Oryzias latipes: one gene and its partners. The main gene of each other region encodes a partner of the protein of the gene in region 2 in a complex. Links are inferred from orthologs where the notes say so. Each region holds a gene or a part of one and is shown on either strand. Other genes may lie near its edges. The genes, in order: tacc3, aurka and tpx2.

Region 1 (3,821 bases), on a different chromosome or scaffold from region 2:
TCGAAGTTTTGAAGTACAGTCAGAAGGACATGGACGCGGCTATTGCCAAAGTGCAGGCAGAGGTATTCACTTTCACTTTTAATAATAATAATAATAATGGATTGGATTTTTCTGCGCTTTTCAAGACACCCAAAGCGCTTACATTATGTCCATTATTCATTCACTCCTCATTCATACTTGGTGATGGTAAGCTACGGTTGTAGCCACAGCTGCCCTGGGGCAGACTGACAGAGGCGTGGCTGCCAGTTCGCGCCTACGGCCCCTCTGACCATCACCGGGATCATTCATGCGCATTCACACACCAGTGGAGCCACACTGGAGGCAAGGAGGGTGAAGTGTCTTGCCCAAGGACACAACGACATTTTTGGCTGGTGGGAGCGGGGATCGAACCGCCAACCCTTCGATCATTGGACGACCCGCTCAACCACCTGAGCCACTGTCGCCCCAACTAACTTTTCAAGTGATTGTCTTAGCTACCAGATTAGTTTATTAACTTGACATAAATAATGATTACTAATATTTTCTCACTCAAAGAATATTACCGTAGGATGGAAGTTAATTTCTTTTGTTTTAGTAAAAAAAAAGGTATCCGTGCATCTTTAATATAGAAAAAATCAGAATCAGGCTTTCTAGTACCGTATTTTAATGACCACGGGGCGCACCTGGTGTTAAGGCGCGGGCACATTAACGCCCCTTCGGACCCTCAGAGCCTCCAGAGTGGGTTAATAAAATAACCAGTTTCTGTTCTTTAGAGGAAACATTTTTATTTTTACTGTTCTCCCTAACTGAGTTACACAAACTGAATGCTCACACACTTACTTGCGTGGGCATCTCCCTTCGTCCTTATCCTACACACGCGCTTAGCGAAAACGCTGCTGCCTTCAGGACAAACATAAACACACACACACACACAGGCTTGCGCCGTGTGTCTGCTTTTCTCCTTCCTGTATGCGCTGGCGAAAACACAGGCTTACGCACACACACAAACACTCAGTGTGTGTTTAAAAAAAAAACAGCAAGAGAAAGTCTGAGTTAGTTTTGATTTATTTTTTCTCCACATAGCTGATAGCTGGAGTTCAAACAGGGCTTCAGCCATTTTGTAAATAGTGTTGTGGGGACCTGAGCCTTAGCCCCGCCCATGGCCACTAAGACTCATGGGAAGTGTTGATGTCCACACCATGAGTTAGGGAGCTGTGAAGAGAAGTCGGCCTCATGTTGTTACACTGTCCTTGAGTCACTCACCTACTTCTCCGGTGCTTCTCAGCAACTCATTAGGTGCCCCACCTCTTAAGGCGCCCCCTACAGTCTGTCTTTAAAGGGCGCCTTATAGTTGTTTAAAAACATTTTACTTTTGTATTACTCTGAAAAAACGTCGAAGAAAACTAATCATTCAAAATCTTTTGAGTGTTTGGCAAATAGTAACTCTTGTTTTGTAATCAGGATTGAACTGCAGTCAGCCTTTCATTTGTGTGCATTTCCTATATAGGCAAAAGAAAAAGAGCAGCACTGGAGTGACAAGTATGACAAGCTCCAAAATGATGGTCAACAAATGAGGCGAGTTGATGCCGAGCCAATTTTTTATATTTTTTTGACATTTCAGATGCTTTAAATATTGAATAAATATTTTTTCTGTCACAGGAAGATGATCATTGAATTCGAACTCGCCATCGCAAAAACGATGGGTAAGTTAACCTTCATCACAGAAGGGGGGCAGGTTTTTGGAAAAGGCTGTTCATGCTCCAATTTTCTGCCATCAGCTGATCACGAGAAAGAGAGGGAAGAGGCACGAGAAAACCTCAAAAAGGCCCTGCAGGAGAAAGAGCAAGTTTCCAGTGAGCTGAATACCATAGAAAAATCTTTTGCTGAGCTTTTTAAGAGACTGGAGAAGTACAAGGAAATGGTAGAGGGTTACAAAAAGGTATGGGTTAATGAGCATTTTTTTGTGTAATTTACTTTTTTTTTAATGTAAGGGTATTTAAGTAGTTGTATTTTCTGTAGAATGAAGAGATACTGAAGACTCGTGCACAGGATTACCAGGAAAGAATCAAAAAGGAGGAGCAGCGCTACCAGATCCTCAAAGCTCATGCTGAGGGGAAAATTGGCCAGTAAGTTTTTGTTTTTGTTTTTTGTCTGTAGGTTTTCAAGCTTAGAAAGATTTCAGGACATAAAGATTTTGTCCTTCTTTCCTTAGAGCAAATGAAGAAATTGCTGAGGTTCGATCTAAATACAAGGCAGAGTTCTCAGCTCTTCAGGCACAGCTACGCCGGGAGCAGCTGAAGGTTCAGTCCGTGGAGAAACGTCTGGATCAGAAAGTGAGTCAACAGAAATAAGCTTGCGTTTGCAAATTTGACTATAAAACTGGAACGACACCAATCTTTTTTTGTCTCCCATTCAGGAAAAGGAGGCCCAGGAGCTCACCAAACTCTGTGATGACCTGATCTCTAAAGTTCAGAAGGGCTGAGCTTGTTTGTAAATACTGTATTTTTGTGTCCATATCATTTTTTTGTGTAGTGTTTTTCTGTTTATCAGTGTTCTGATGATACTGTTTAACAAAAAGAAAATAAAGATAATTTTACAAGTTTTACCATTGAAAATTTGATTTTTCACGTGTGGGCCACTAGAGGGCAGTGTTTCCACTTGCATCTGTGCATTGGGACTTGAAGCTTTAGTTTTGGATCTGCAGGTAACACGAGTCTCTATGTTAATCAGTGCAGAGTGCTCTTAAGTGCACAGATGGAAAACTTGTCATTCGTCCGGAGCCAAAGCTCATCTCCATGCTGCGATTCTCCCAACAAACAACAGCTCACCTCATACAATGCTCCCCTTCTTTCCTCAGCAATCACTGGGTCTTGTCACATCACTCCCACAGCAGGACAATGTACTTCCTAAATGGTGAAAGGAAACCCTACCTAGATCAGAGTTGAATGAGATGGTGATGCAGAGGCGGAGAAGGGGGACGATTCACTTAAACGGAGAAAAGATGTCAGCCGTTTGGGTGTAGTCTTGCAGGGGACATCACTCATCTAAAAAGCAACCGTGAGACTGCTCTGGTGTCTATTCAGTCTTTCATCCCCGTCGCTCGTGTCCCTCTGGCTGCCCTTTGAGTCACCCTCCAACACTCTGCTCTGCTCTGAGGACGACACTACACCTGTGAGAGAACCTGGCCCTTTTGTTCATGAGATGCTCAGCCTCAGCTTTGGTTTACAGCCACAAAAAAACCATTCTAAAAGAAAAAAATAGTCCAGAACAGCACCCAAACTGATTTCAGTTTTTTTAATCAAACTATCAAATCTTAAAGAATGCATCATACAAGATTGTCAAATACAAGCTACTTGAAAAAATACCTAAATATTGGCAATAAAGTAAATGCGAATAAACAAGTGAACAAAGTTTTCAAAATGTACAACACACAACAGTATACTTTAATAACATTCAATAGATAAGTGAAATGCCTTACTCTGAAAAATAAACCTTTAAATTCTTTTAGGAAAATAAATTAAATATTCTGATTACAGCTTCATAAACTGCTTGGATAAGGTGGGGGTCAAAAAGACTAAATCTCTTCTGGTTTATGTCAAAATGCTACTGACTAGTAATGCTACCTACAGAAAGCTCAAACGAGACTGAAAACCAAGAGAAGAAACCACGGAAAAACTGGAAATAAAAACGTTTCGGGAAGTGTTGCATGCCATGAAGAAGGAACAGAGGTTGGGGTAAAGATGGCTAAAGGATAGTGGTCAGTATTCCCAGCATAATGAATGTCTAAGAAACACAACGACAACCTGAGTAGGAGCATTAAACCAGCCCTTTTGTAAAACTTG
Region 2 (5,443 bases):
ACTAAGGGGGGAGCTTGAAGTTTATAAGACAGAAAAAAGGGAATCAGGTAATTTTTTTGTATTTTTTCTGGAAATAAAACTTTTGACCAAAGTGTAGAAATAAATCGTTTTTATAAAAGTTCCACGTTTGAGTTTATAGATCTGCATTAAAACAAATGATCTACGTCTTAAACATGCTTATTCACAACAACATAATCTCATTGTGACATTTACTGCTCTGCACTGTTGATTTAAAGACCCACTCCAATAAAAAAAATCATGCTTTTTAACATGTTCTTGTAGGATTCTTCTCATGTTGGAGAACATATATTCAGGAAGTTGGAAAGAAAACTGAATTCCTGAGCATTTCTTTTTTCAGGTGCAGCAAAAAAACTCAGTTGTGACGCAGCAACTGAAATGGGTTTTTACCAGTCTACTTGTTCACTCCATTCTGATGCATCCGCTTGCAGACAAATGGATACATTACCGTCTTCCTTTTCCTCCTCTGAGCTGGATCCTGCTTACAGCTGGATGGCTCTGATTTTCAGGGATTGTACACTTTTTTTTTTTAGCAATGCTTTATCCATAACTTTTCACAGAATTTCCAAAACTAAAAATAAACACATTTCGGTAACTATTGCAGTCGGTGCCGCCAACTCAAACCAAGAACACACATGGATACATCCAAGTTCTCCTGCCTTGCTGTTAAAATTGCAGCCTTCAGCTTCACATGGAAGCAAAGTCCGGCAGGGACCGTCAATGAAGTACACGAAAACGACCCCGAAAATCAATTTCTCACAACTCACCCTCAATAATCTCAAAAACATCACAAGAACACATTATTGTTTAAACAACCTTCACTAAAATCCCTAATGTCAGTCGTAGACGCGTCCTTAGCTCCTCGCTTTAGGACTACAACTGTTATACCAGTAGTTCAGAAAAATATTAAGAGCAAATTCTGAAACAAAACTCATAGCAAAAATCATAAGAATTATGGTGAAGTCGACCACACCCACAACGGGAGCCTCCAGCAGGTCAACCACGGGCTTTGCGCCTATTATTGTCGTTGAGATTGACTCAAACAAAAGAAACAAACAGTTCCTACTGGTTAATATTTGAAACTTACCCAACATTTTGCTTTGTAACATTTGTGAATAAGTAGGAAGAAGAAAACAGACTGGTGATATTGTGACAAACACAAACAGATCATGTCTATGAGACTTTTTCTACTTCTAATTGCAGCTCATCCTATAGTTTTCATGAGCAGATGAGGTTAGAGCCCGGGCTGCTTAGACTTCTTTGCTTATGTAGAACAAAAAGCACGAAAAGACTTGGAACGAAGATCTCCTGTTTTTTTTTTTTTTAAATCTAACAAGCTTCCATAGTAACGCCATCATAACCCATTTTAAAAAGTTCTCTCTCAAAGTCGGAATCTCCTGAATGAGTAGTATTGGATTTTGCGTCACCCCCACATTGTATAAGCTTTCTCTATAAACAGTTATGTAAATGACAGCAATATTGTTTTTGCAATTTTGACTGTGAATCTGTTTGCTGTACTGGAGTTTGTCAGTCAATGATTGTAAGGTACAAACACTAGATGGGATCAGCCCCAAAATCATAATCAGGTTGAGATTTGTGTCTGCAAATACTTGTTTGGGATGAGATCAGGTTAGCCAGAATTACCTGAGATGTGACTGGATTTCCACCTCTCGTCTCAACTGATGCTCCACCCCAGCCCTCTCCAGTTGCTTCTTGAAAAGAACCTTCAGAGCCAAGATGAACTTGGTCTGTCGCTCTCGGGCGAGGTAGACGTTGCCGAACTTTCCCTTTCCTAAAGGACGACCAATGTCAAAGTCTTCTAGGCTCCATCGCTTCCTGTATGAGCACAACAGTCTGGTTACAGCCTTCCAGAGAACATTTTCAGGCTTATACATGCATGATAAAAAATAGTCTGTACTTGACATACTTGGATGTAGAGCCCTGCTCAGTTCTTGAGAGCTTGCCTGATAAAATATAATATATATGTATAAATAACTTATTTTTAAACGTGAGAAATGTGTTTAATTCAGTGGCATAACCTACTCTGTTGCTTGTCTGCTTTTATGGGTTCCGACGGTGGCTTGGCCAAATCTGGATTTGCACCGAGAACCTGAGTCTTTGGTTGGTTTTGCTGGGACGTAGGTTTAGACGGTGGAGCATGATGTGCATTCAGAGTAGCTGGATTCACATTCTGATCGCCAGAATGTGAGGACTTGTTGGTAAAAGCGACTTGAGATACCGGTTTCTGATGACTAACAGGTCGCTGGATACGCTGAGGTCCATTTGACACACTGAGAACTCGCTGATGCGAGGTGGGTGTGACTATTGCCTTGGGAACCATTTGATGCTGTTGAGACACAGGAATTCGTCGTGGTCCATCACTGCCGGACTGCAATTAAGAGACCAGCAAATAGAAATTTTAACATTTAATTCAAGGAAATGCAGCTTTACATATTGCTACATCAGTATTACTTTCTAACCTATATTACCATTAGGGGTTGTAGATTCATAGTTCATTCTTGTTTGATTTGAATGATTCGATCTGTTTCACTGACCTACAATGGATCCCAGACATCTTTAACCAAAATTCAACCAGTGTGACTCAGAGATACACATAAAAATAATATATATGGAACAGTATTAGAAGGTTCTATCACACCGTATAATCATGTTTTTGCTAAATCCAAAGTGTTTCCACACATTTTGTAATGATGGCTTGATCACGTGCGTTGTCCGCTGTGATGTCACTTGGTCATTTATATTTCTCAATCCAAATGGTATTTTCCAACATTGAATATAAATCAATCCCTAATTACTATACTATATATGAAAATGCAGTGAAGGGCATAAAAAAGTTAGACATTTAAACTTAAAAAAAGAAAATCAGTCTGACTTCACCTGCTTTATTTCAGGCTTTTGCAGTTTCACACTCTTTGTCACCTTGAGTGAGGGAGAAGGATCCATTTCCTGAAGGAAAAAGTTTATATTATTATAAGTATATAATTCAAATAGCGTATCAGATGAAAACACGAGGAAATTATAGGCTTAGGTCCGCAATGCTAACTGTAGTACTTACACAGACAATGATCAAATATAATCTTAGTGAACAAACTATGCACGTAAAGGTAAAACATTTATAAAAGTAAATACTTTAAGTCAAGTTAAAAGAGCTGATGTTCTCTTCTCCAGAGGCTAGCTAACGTTAATGAACAAGTGCTTCTGTTAGCTTAGCAACTATCATACAAACTATTTTTAATGCAACGTCTGACATAACTTACCCAAATGTACTACTGCACAATGATATACAGCAACCACGGCACGTTAAAATATCCAGAATTAATCAGTCCAATACATTCAAGAAGAAAAAAACCATGCCCACGTAGATGCTACGAAAGCTAGCTAACGAAAGATAATTCCTTTTGTCTAAATATAAACGCAAAGTCCAGTGAAACGTTACGAACAGACAACTTGTTTGGACTGAAAGCAAATAAATATATGCGGCAAAACTAGTTCAAAACACCTAAAAGGTTTAAACTACAGAGATGTCTGTGACCACACGATTCTTTTCCTGAAACGCTGATTAGAAATTTCAAACGTCCCTGTTTTAACCTTTAAAAAAAATCAGCTGGTCTGATTGGCTGACAGAATGCCCAATTTCGGTTTCCTATTGGCTAATACAATGTATCGAATGGGCGGCAGGAACGTCATGGGTAATTGGAGTTCCAAAGCACTAGATGGCAGAGCGCAGGTTCAGTTCGGTCAGTTTAAACAATTTACGAAAACAAACAAATAAACGCAAAAAAGATAAAATTAAAACTATCTCAAAACGGTAATAGCTATTTAGAAAGAAAAAAACACGAGGGGAGAAGTTTAACAGACCAAAGTAAATGGTTGGTCAAGCTCATTCTGCGCCAAAAAAAAGGGAGGGGGGGGGGGGGTTATAATTCAACACCCGTCCAAGGTTTTCTTTGGTTACTCACATAAAATTGATTAGGATAATGATGACGCATGGGCTAACTAAATACTTTTTTATTTTGTTTTTTAAGACACTTGCGGCCCCTTGTGTTTATAATGAGTAACTACATCTCCCCCATTCTTGAGGCCTTCAGATGAACGAATATAATTTGATTTTTAATTCAAAAGTACCCAACTAGCTCACAAAAATTAGTTTAGTCTCTATTAGTTTAGTCTCTCTTTTCCATAATAGAAAACGTCTTTCAATAAGTGGTTAAAATTTTTAGTCCCAAGTGTTTGTTTTCTCAGTTATATTTTATTATGAAAATATTTAAAGCAAAACCCACAGAACTCTCATGGAAAATAAAATATTGAGGGGAAGCTTTTAAGTTAAAATATTTTACTTTTATTCTTATATTCATTTTTTTTCTCCTGTTCACAGGTAACATTTCTTTAGTTGTACATTCTTTTTTGATGTAAAGACTAGCAAGAAATAAACAGTTTTTCTAAATAAATACATTCTTTAAAGTTTTAGAAATATTGTATCAAAGAAGGCGTCTACAATACCATAGAACAGTTCATACAGTTACAGCGGCTTCATTGTGCAGCACCTGCAGCGACCTTTAAACTGAAAGACCGCCGACTGGATGTTAAACGTTCAATTTCTGCATTTAACTTAAAGTTGACAGACGACACATTTACATTGACAGAAAGGCAGAATCTGACAAGGTCTTACTATAAAAATATAAATATGGCGAGAACATTGATCCCTTCTTTTAACTTAAATAATACAATAAGTCTTTATACAACAGTACATTCATTCAGGCTTTGCCTAAAAAACAAAAATAAAGAGACAGTGTTGGTATTGCTGAGGTCCCGCAGAGAAACATTACAGAAATAGTTCTAATAAAGAAATCAAACTGGCCCTGAAAGTTCGGATCGCTTAGATAGATGGAGTAGAGTTCTCCACCTGTTTCCTTTGAACTGCTTACATTTATACATCTACCTTCCTAAGTTAGTGTGAGTGCAGTCGGCTGTGTTGAGGAACAGTTTTTTTTTTTTTTTTAACAGAACATGAGATCTGAAAGTACAACCGTCTCAACTTTGGCACTTTTCTTCCATATCTGGTGCCTTTAAAGTCAAACTCTGAGCACACAAAGACAGGTAGTGTTTCCATCTTTCCTGAGCGCGTCACATCCACTTGATCCTAAAATCACTGTCATCTCACTGAATAGATAGAATATAGATGGCAAAGTGTGCCGCTCGAGTAATACAGAAAACCAAGAGCACCAGAGCAGCCCAACGAAGGACTGGTTGTATAGATAAGCAGTGCAACTTAGACGGAACTAACAAAAACAAAACAGGAAGTGTGTGTCATTTCTCTGTGACTGCTGCAGCCATCGGGGCCCGTAAGGTCCCACGCGCTGTGGCTGCCAGCTCCTCGATCTCTGCATTGAGTTGCCTGATCACC
Region 3 (4,044 bases), on a different chromosome or scaffold from region 2:
GAAGGTTGGAGATGTGAAAGCAGCTGGTCTCTGCAGTGAAGCATTACAAACCAAAAACCCGCTGAGCTCCTGCAGCGGGGGTTCTACCTTTTTATGAAACTATTCTGACGTCAAAGTGCATCTGTGCAGTTTGGTCACACGACTGACTTCACCGTTATGTCTTTCTTGGCAGTGAAAGCAAGCCACCTGAAGCTCACCCAGCCCCACTCCCCCCACCTGATGACGCGGCAGAGAAGCAGACCCACCTCAGTGAAGAGCAGCGTTGAGCTGGAGGCAGAGGAGATGGAAAAGCAGAAGAAGTAAGGCCGCACGCCCGCTGGTGCTGCCCTGTTGGGACGCTGTTGGACGTCTGTTTCCTCCCGGCAGGTTCAAAATCAAAGCTCTGGAGCTGAACAAGAAGATCCTGGAGGGAGCAGAGGAGCTGAGGAAGCCGCCGGTGAAGGAGCCAACCGTACCTCAAGGCTTTGAGCTGGAGCTGGAGAGGAGGCTCCAGCAGAGGCAGGCCACCAAGAAGAGCGAGGATGAGGAGAAGCCCCACAACTTCAAAGCCAACCCTCTGCCCAAAAAGGTCCTGGACGGGGTTGTGGTGAGTGGAGTGGAAGGGCACTGGGGGGCTCGGTCCTTCCCACAGCAAGGTGACGTAATGTCGCTCTGTGGACAGGGCCTACCTGAGAAGAAGGTGCTGCATCCCACTGTGCCGGAATCGCCTGCTTTTGCCCTCAAGAAGAGGATCCGTGTGGAACGGAAGGCTGAAGAGGTAAGAAAGCTAGAGCTGTCCTTTCAACCAGCATCCCTCCAGCTCACTCATGGCCCTTTTTTGACCTGCTGCTTCAGGTAAAGCAGCCCTCTCCTGTGAAGGCGCCGCCGGTGCCTCACTTTGGCCTACCGTTCCAGCCCCGCCTCCCAGAGGACCACCACCTGGACGTGTGTCCTTTCTCATTTGAGGAGAGAGAGCGGGAGAGGCGGGCGTTAAAGGAGAGGAAGCTTGAGGAAATGAGAAACCAGGAGGTGAAGCCTTTCCGTCCTTAACCAGCAGTCTGAGCACAGCCACAGTCCACTCATGCTGCTCCCTCCGCCTGTCCAGGTCCCACAGTTCAAGGCGCAGCCGCTGCCGGACTTTGACACCGTGGTTCTTCCTGAGAAGAAGAAGCTTGAGCCCACTAAGCCAGAACCCTTCAAGCTGCTGATCGATGAACGTGGAGCCGTGAAGAGCAGCCGCTGGGAGCAAATGGTACCGCAGGACCCGACACGCTTCACATTCCTGTTCCCACTGAGCCTCATGTCTCTGTGTCCTGAAGGTGAAGGAGGAGCAGAAGCACCAGGAGGGGGCAGCAGCATTCAAGGCCCGGCCCAACACAGTCATTCATAAAGAACCCTTCAGGCCCAAGAAGGAGAGCCGGCCCACGCTGGGTAAGAACTAGGGACGGCCCGTGTGACACGGACGCTTCGGCGCTTGTGAGTGGCTCGGCACGATGTTCAGGGCCGCGTGTCCCTAAACACGGTGCAGTTCACGTGGTTGATGAAACATGAAGCATTGTTTGGTGGAACCGGGGTTCAGATGTCACTCGTGTGAAAAAAGCATGAATCCCAAACGGCCTTCATGACCACGGCTCCTGGTAAACAAGGTTCTGTGGCTGCTTGGAGCATTTCCACTTGGTTTCTCCTAATAAGGTCATACAGGATAAACCTGGTTTATAAAGGGGGGCGGTTTGGTAAATTTATGACGGCCAGGGACCACAGTCACATTACAGCTGACTCTATGACTAACTCCGGTTTAAGGCCAGGTTTTTGCAATGTTTCCACGGCTTCATGGGGCTCTACCCCCACCCGTAGTAAGAAGCTTCCATCCACGTCTTCGTGGCTTCAGTGTGAGGATTCATGTTTATTGATGGTGCAGGTTTCACTTTTATTCAGTTCATTTCTTCAGTCCTGTGAAGAGTTTAAGACAAAACCAGACCTTTCACTGAAAACAGACTGACTGGAAGTGACCGTCTGCAAAGAAGCTGGGGTGCGTTCAGGAGAGCGCCTCCGCCGCGGGCGGGCTCGGCGCTCTCCGCCGTTGTGTAACTCATGATGTTCTTGTCTTCACCTTGGTCCTCCGGTTCTCCTGAGAAGACGTTCATTCTTCTACAGTAGTGGAAACCTTTGAGCTGGCAACGGAGCGGCGGGCCAAAGAGTGGCAGGAGTACGAGCGCACGGTCAGCGAGAAGGAGGCGCTCAGAGCACGCATGGAGGTGGAGCAGAGGCGAGAGGAGGAGCAGCGGATCAAAGAGGAGATTGCCATGCTGCGGCAGGAACAGGTGAGTGAAGAAGCTCCTCCCCCTTTAGCAGCTGAAAGGGGTTTTCTTCCAGATTTGATTTTTAGCTCCATTGTTTCAGCTGTAATACTGTTGCCATGGTAACTAGAAAGTGCGCACATTGGCGGTGCAGACCAGGCTAAAGTTCAGAATTTTCATCTGGTCCAGAGAGCTTCATCTGCTTTGGACCTGAACCCATTCATGACTGTTCTCTGGAGAACGGCGAGCGCTGAAACCTGCTGTGCATCAGCGTCTGCACAGTTCTGCTCAGCCGTTTGAACGCCTGTCTCTGTCCTCAGGTCCATAAGGCTCAGCCCATCCGGCAGTACAAACCCGTGACGGTGAAGAAGAGCGAGATCCCCCTCACGGTTCCAGAGTCGCCCAATTTCTCCGACCGCTTCCGCCTGTGAAGCCCGCCTTGTTTGGGCAGAATCCCAGATGTAGACGTTTATGTTCATGATTTTACTCCGTGTAGCTTTTAAGTGGAACCTTTTAGAGACGTGGCATGCACCCTGAAAGTTTGTAAATTGTGTACATTTGTTTTCCATGGAACTGCCAGTCGTTCCTCTTTTCTTGAATGTGCATTAATGTATCCATGCAGTTTTGAATAAAATGTGATGCAAACACAAAGGAGACAAAGTTATTGACTGACATGAACCGGAACAGAAATGTGGTTCAAGTATTTGATCCACTTTAAAGAATCGACACGTTAGAACGATGCTTTTGGCTGGAAGAACAATAACGCTTTAATATTTGAAACATTTAGGGCTCGTTTTCCTTTAACCCTTGTGCTATCTTAGATGACCCCACCCTTCCATTGACGTGTTCTCCCTATCATGACAAAGGTGGATAAAGGTGGAAAGATTTCATGTAATCCATGGACACCAGTGAAGATCACAAATCACTGAAGAAAAAAGGTTCAGAGCACTGTCTAGTGGGTCTAGATGACCCAACTCCCAACGTCAAAGTGCCTAGGATAGCACAAGGGTTACGGGGAATTTTAACACTGGACAGTGCTGTAGACGTGGGCTTCTAAAGGGTTAAAACAACAAATGTACAATTAAAGAGGAAAACATGTTATTAGGGTCAGTGTTTAAGGATCTGCACATGGCGTTCTCCTTCACTCCAGAACTTTGAAATCAGTCAAGTGTTCAAACTAAAAGTTTACAATTATTTTTATTGAAATAAAACTGAAAAGCCTTGAATTTTCGTAGGAATCAGATGGATTTTAGTGTTAGACAGCACCCGGAGGGTCACCAGCCCGGAATTCCACATAGAACCTAACCTACTAGAAAAGCTGATCGAATAAAAAAACAATAAATAATTTGGAGTGTCAGTTCAGCTCTGCAGATAAAAACATGACCAAACTGCAGGGGATCAGACCCAAACCCACAAATCCAGACTAAACAGGAGCTCAAACAGAAAAACCTCACTGGGCCACCTAACTACATTTCCCATGATGCCCCTAGAAGGACTTGGAATAGCTCAGGTTGGATCTCACGAGTGCAGGAGGTTCCTGAGGGAAAACGGACTGAAAACCGAGGAGACTCACGTTCCTGAGCGGGTGGCAGAGCGCCGCTGGAGTTTGGCCACCGCCATTCTCAACAGAAGGTTCAGTTCTCTGTCATGAGATCTAAGTTAAGCATCTGTGAGAGGGTCAGAAACATTTAGGACCGAAGAGCCTTCATTCAGCATAGCAGCATTCAGAAACGGCAGGGAGGAAGCCCAGAAGTTCCCCAGCAGAGAG

What was found.
Region 1: the proteins of aurka (region 2) and tacc3 are in contact, whole or in part, in a crystal structure (PDB 5ODT), measured with the Homo sapiens proteins. The link is inferred for Oryzias latipes from reciprocal best matches to the Homo sapiens genes AURKA and TACC3. Residues at the interface, in NP_001310232.1 of Homo sapiens: Leu130, Phe133, Glu134, Ile135, Gly136, Arg137, Tyr148, Leu149, Ala150, Arg151, Ile158, Val163, Arg205, Tyr207; in NP_001428248.1 of Homo sapiens: Glu523, Ser524, Phe525, Arg526, Pro528, Val531, Leu532, Gly533.
Region 3: the proteins of aurka (region 2) and tpx2 are in contact, whole or in part, in a crystal structure (PDB 3HA6), measured with the Homo sapiens proteins. The link is inferred for Oryzias latipes from reciprocal best matches to the Homo sapiens genes AURKA and TPX2. Residues at the interface, in NP_001310232.1 of Homo sapiens: Lys125, Arg126, Gln127, Trp128, Asp132, Glu152, Gln154, Ser155, Phe157, Leu159, Lys166, Glu170, Gly173, Glu175, Leu178, Arg179, Val182, Glu183, Ile184, Ser186, His187, Leu188, Arg189, Tyr197, Gly198, Tyr199, His201, Val206, Tyr246, Ser249; in NP_036244.2 of Homo sapiens: Gln3, Lys5, Ser6, Ser7, Tyr8, Ser9, Tyr10, Asp11, Ala12, Pro13, Ser14, Asp15, Phe16, Ile17, Phe19, Ser20, Ile31, Asp32, Trp34, Phe35, Glu36, Lys38, Ala39.

What each region holds. Positions count from the first base shown.
Region 1 is NC_019880.2:12,234,166-12,237,986, forward strand, and holds the end of tacc3 (transforming acidic coiled-coil-containing protein 3), read left to right. Parts: coding exon 1-62; intron 63-1,486; coding exon 1,487-1,554; intron 1,555-1,638; coding exon 1,639-1,682; intron 1,683-1,757; coding exon 1,758-1,918; intron 1,919-1,998; coding exon 1,999-2,105; intron 2,106-2,191; coding exon 2,192-2,312; intron 2,313-2,395; coding exon 2,396-2,461; 3' UTR 2,462-2,585; downstream 2,586-3,821. UniProt on the Homo sapiens protein: Plays a role in the microtubule-dependent coupling of the nucleus and the centrosome. Involved in the processes that regulate centrosome-mediated interkinetic nuclear migration (INM) of neural progenitors.
Region 2 is NC_019863.2:11,350,943-11,356,385, forward strand, and holds the start of aurka (aurora kinase A), read right to left. Parts: upstream 3,646-5,443; 5' UTR 3,297-3,645; intron 2,986-3,296; 5' UTR 2,983-2,985; coding exon 2,917-2,982; intron 2,408-2,916; coding exon 2,062-2,407; intron 1,983-2,061; coding exon 1,946-1,982; intron 1,855-1,945; coding exon 1,663-1,854; intron 1-1,662. Other genes in the region: PRELI domain containing protein 3B, read right to left, coding at 5,347-5,443. UniProt on the Homo sapiens protein: Mitotic serine/threonine kinase that contributes to the regulation of cell cycle progression.
Region 3 is NC_019865.2:31,504,947-31,508,990, reverse strand, and holds the end of tpx2 (targeting protein for Xklp2), read left to right. Parts: intron 1-172; coding exon 173-299; intron 300-366; coding exon 367-586; intron 587-661; coding exon 662-757; intron 758-834; coding exon 835-1,008; intron 1,009-1,084; coding exon 1,085-1,231; intron 1,232-1,298; coding exon 1,299-1,410; intron 1,411-2,115; coding exon 2,116-2,300; intron 2,301-2,596; coding exon 2,597-2,707; 3' UTR 2,708-2,927; downstream 2,928-4,044. UniProt on the Homo sapiens protein: Spindle assembly factor required for normal assembly of mitotic spindles. Required for normal assembly of microtubules during apoptosis. Required for chromatin and/or kinetochore dependent microtubule nucleation.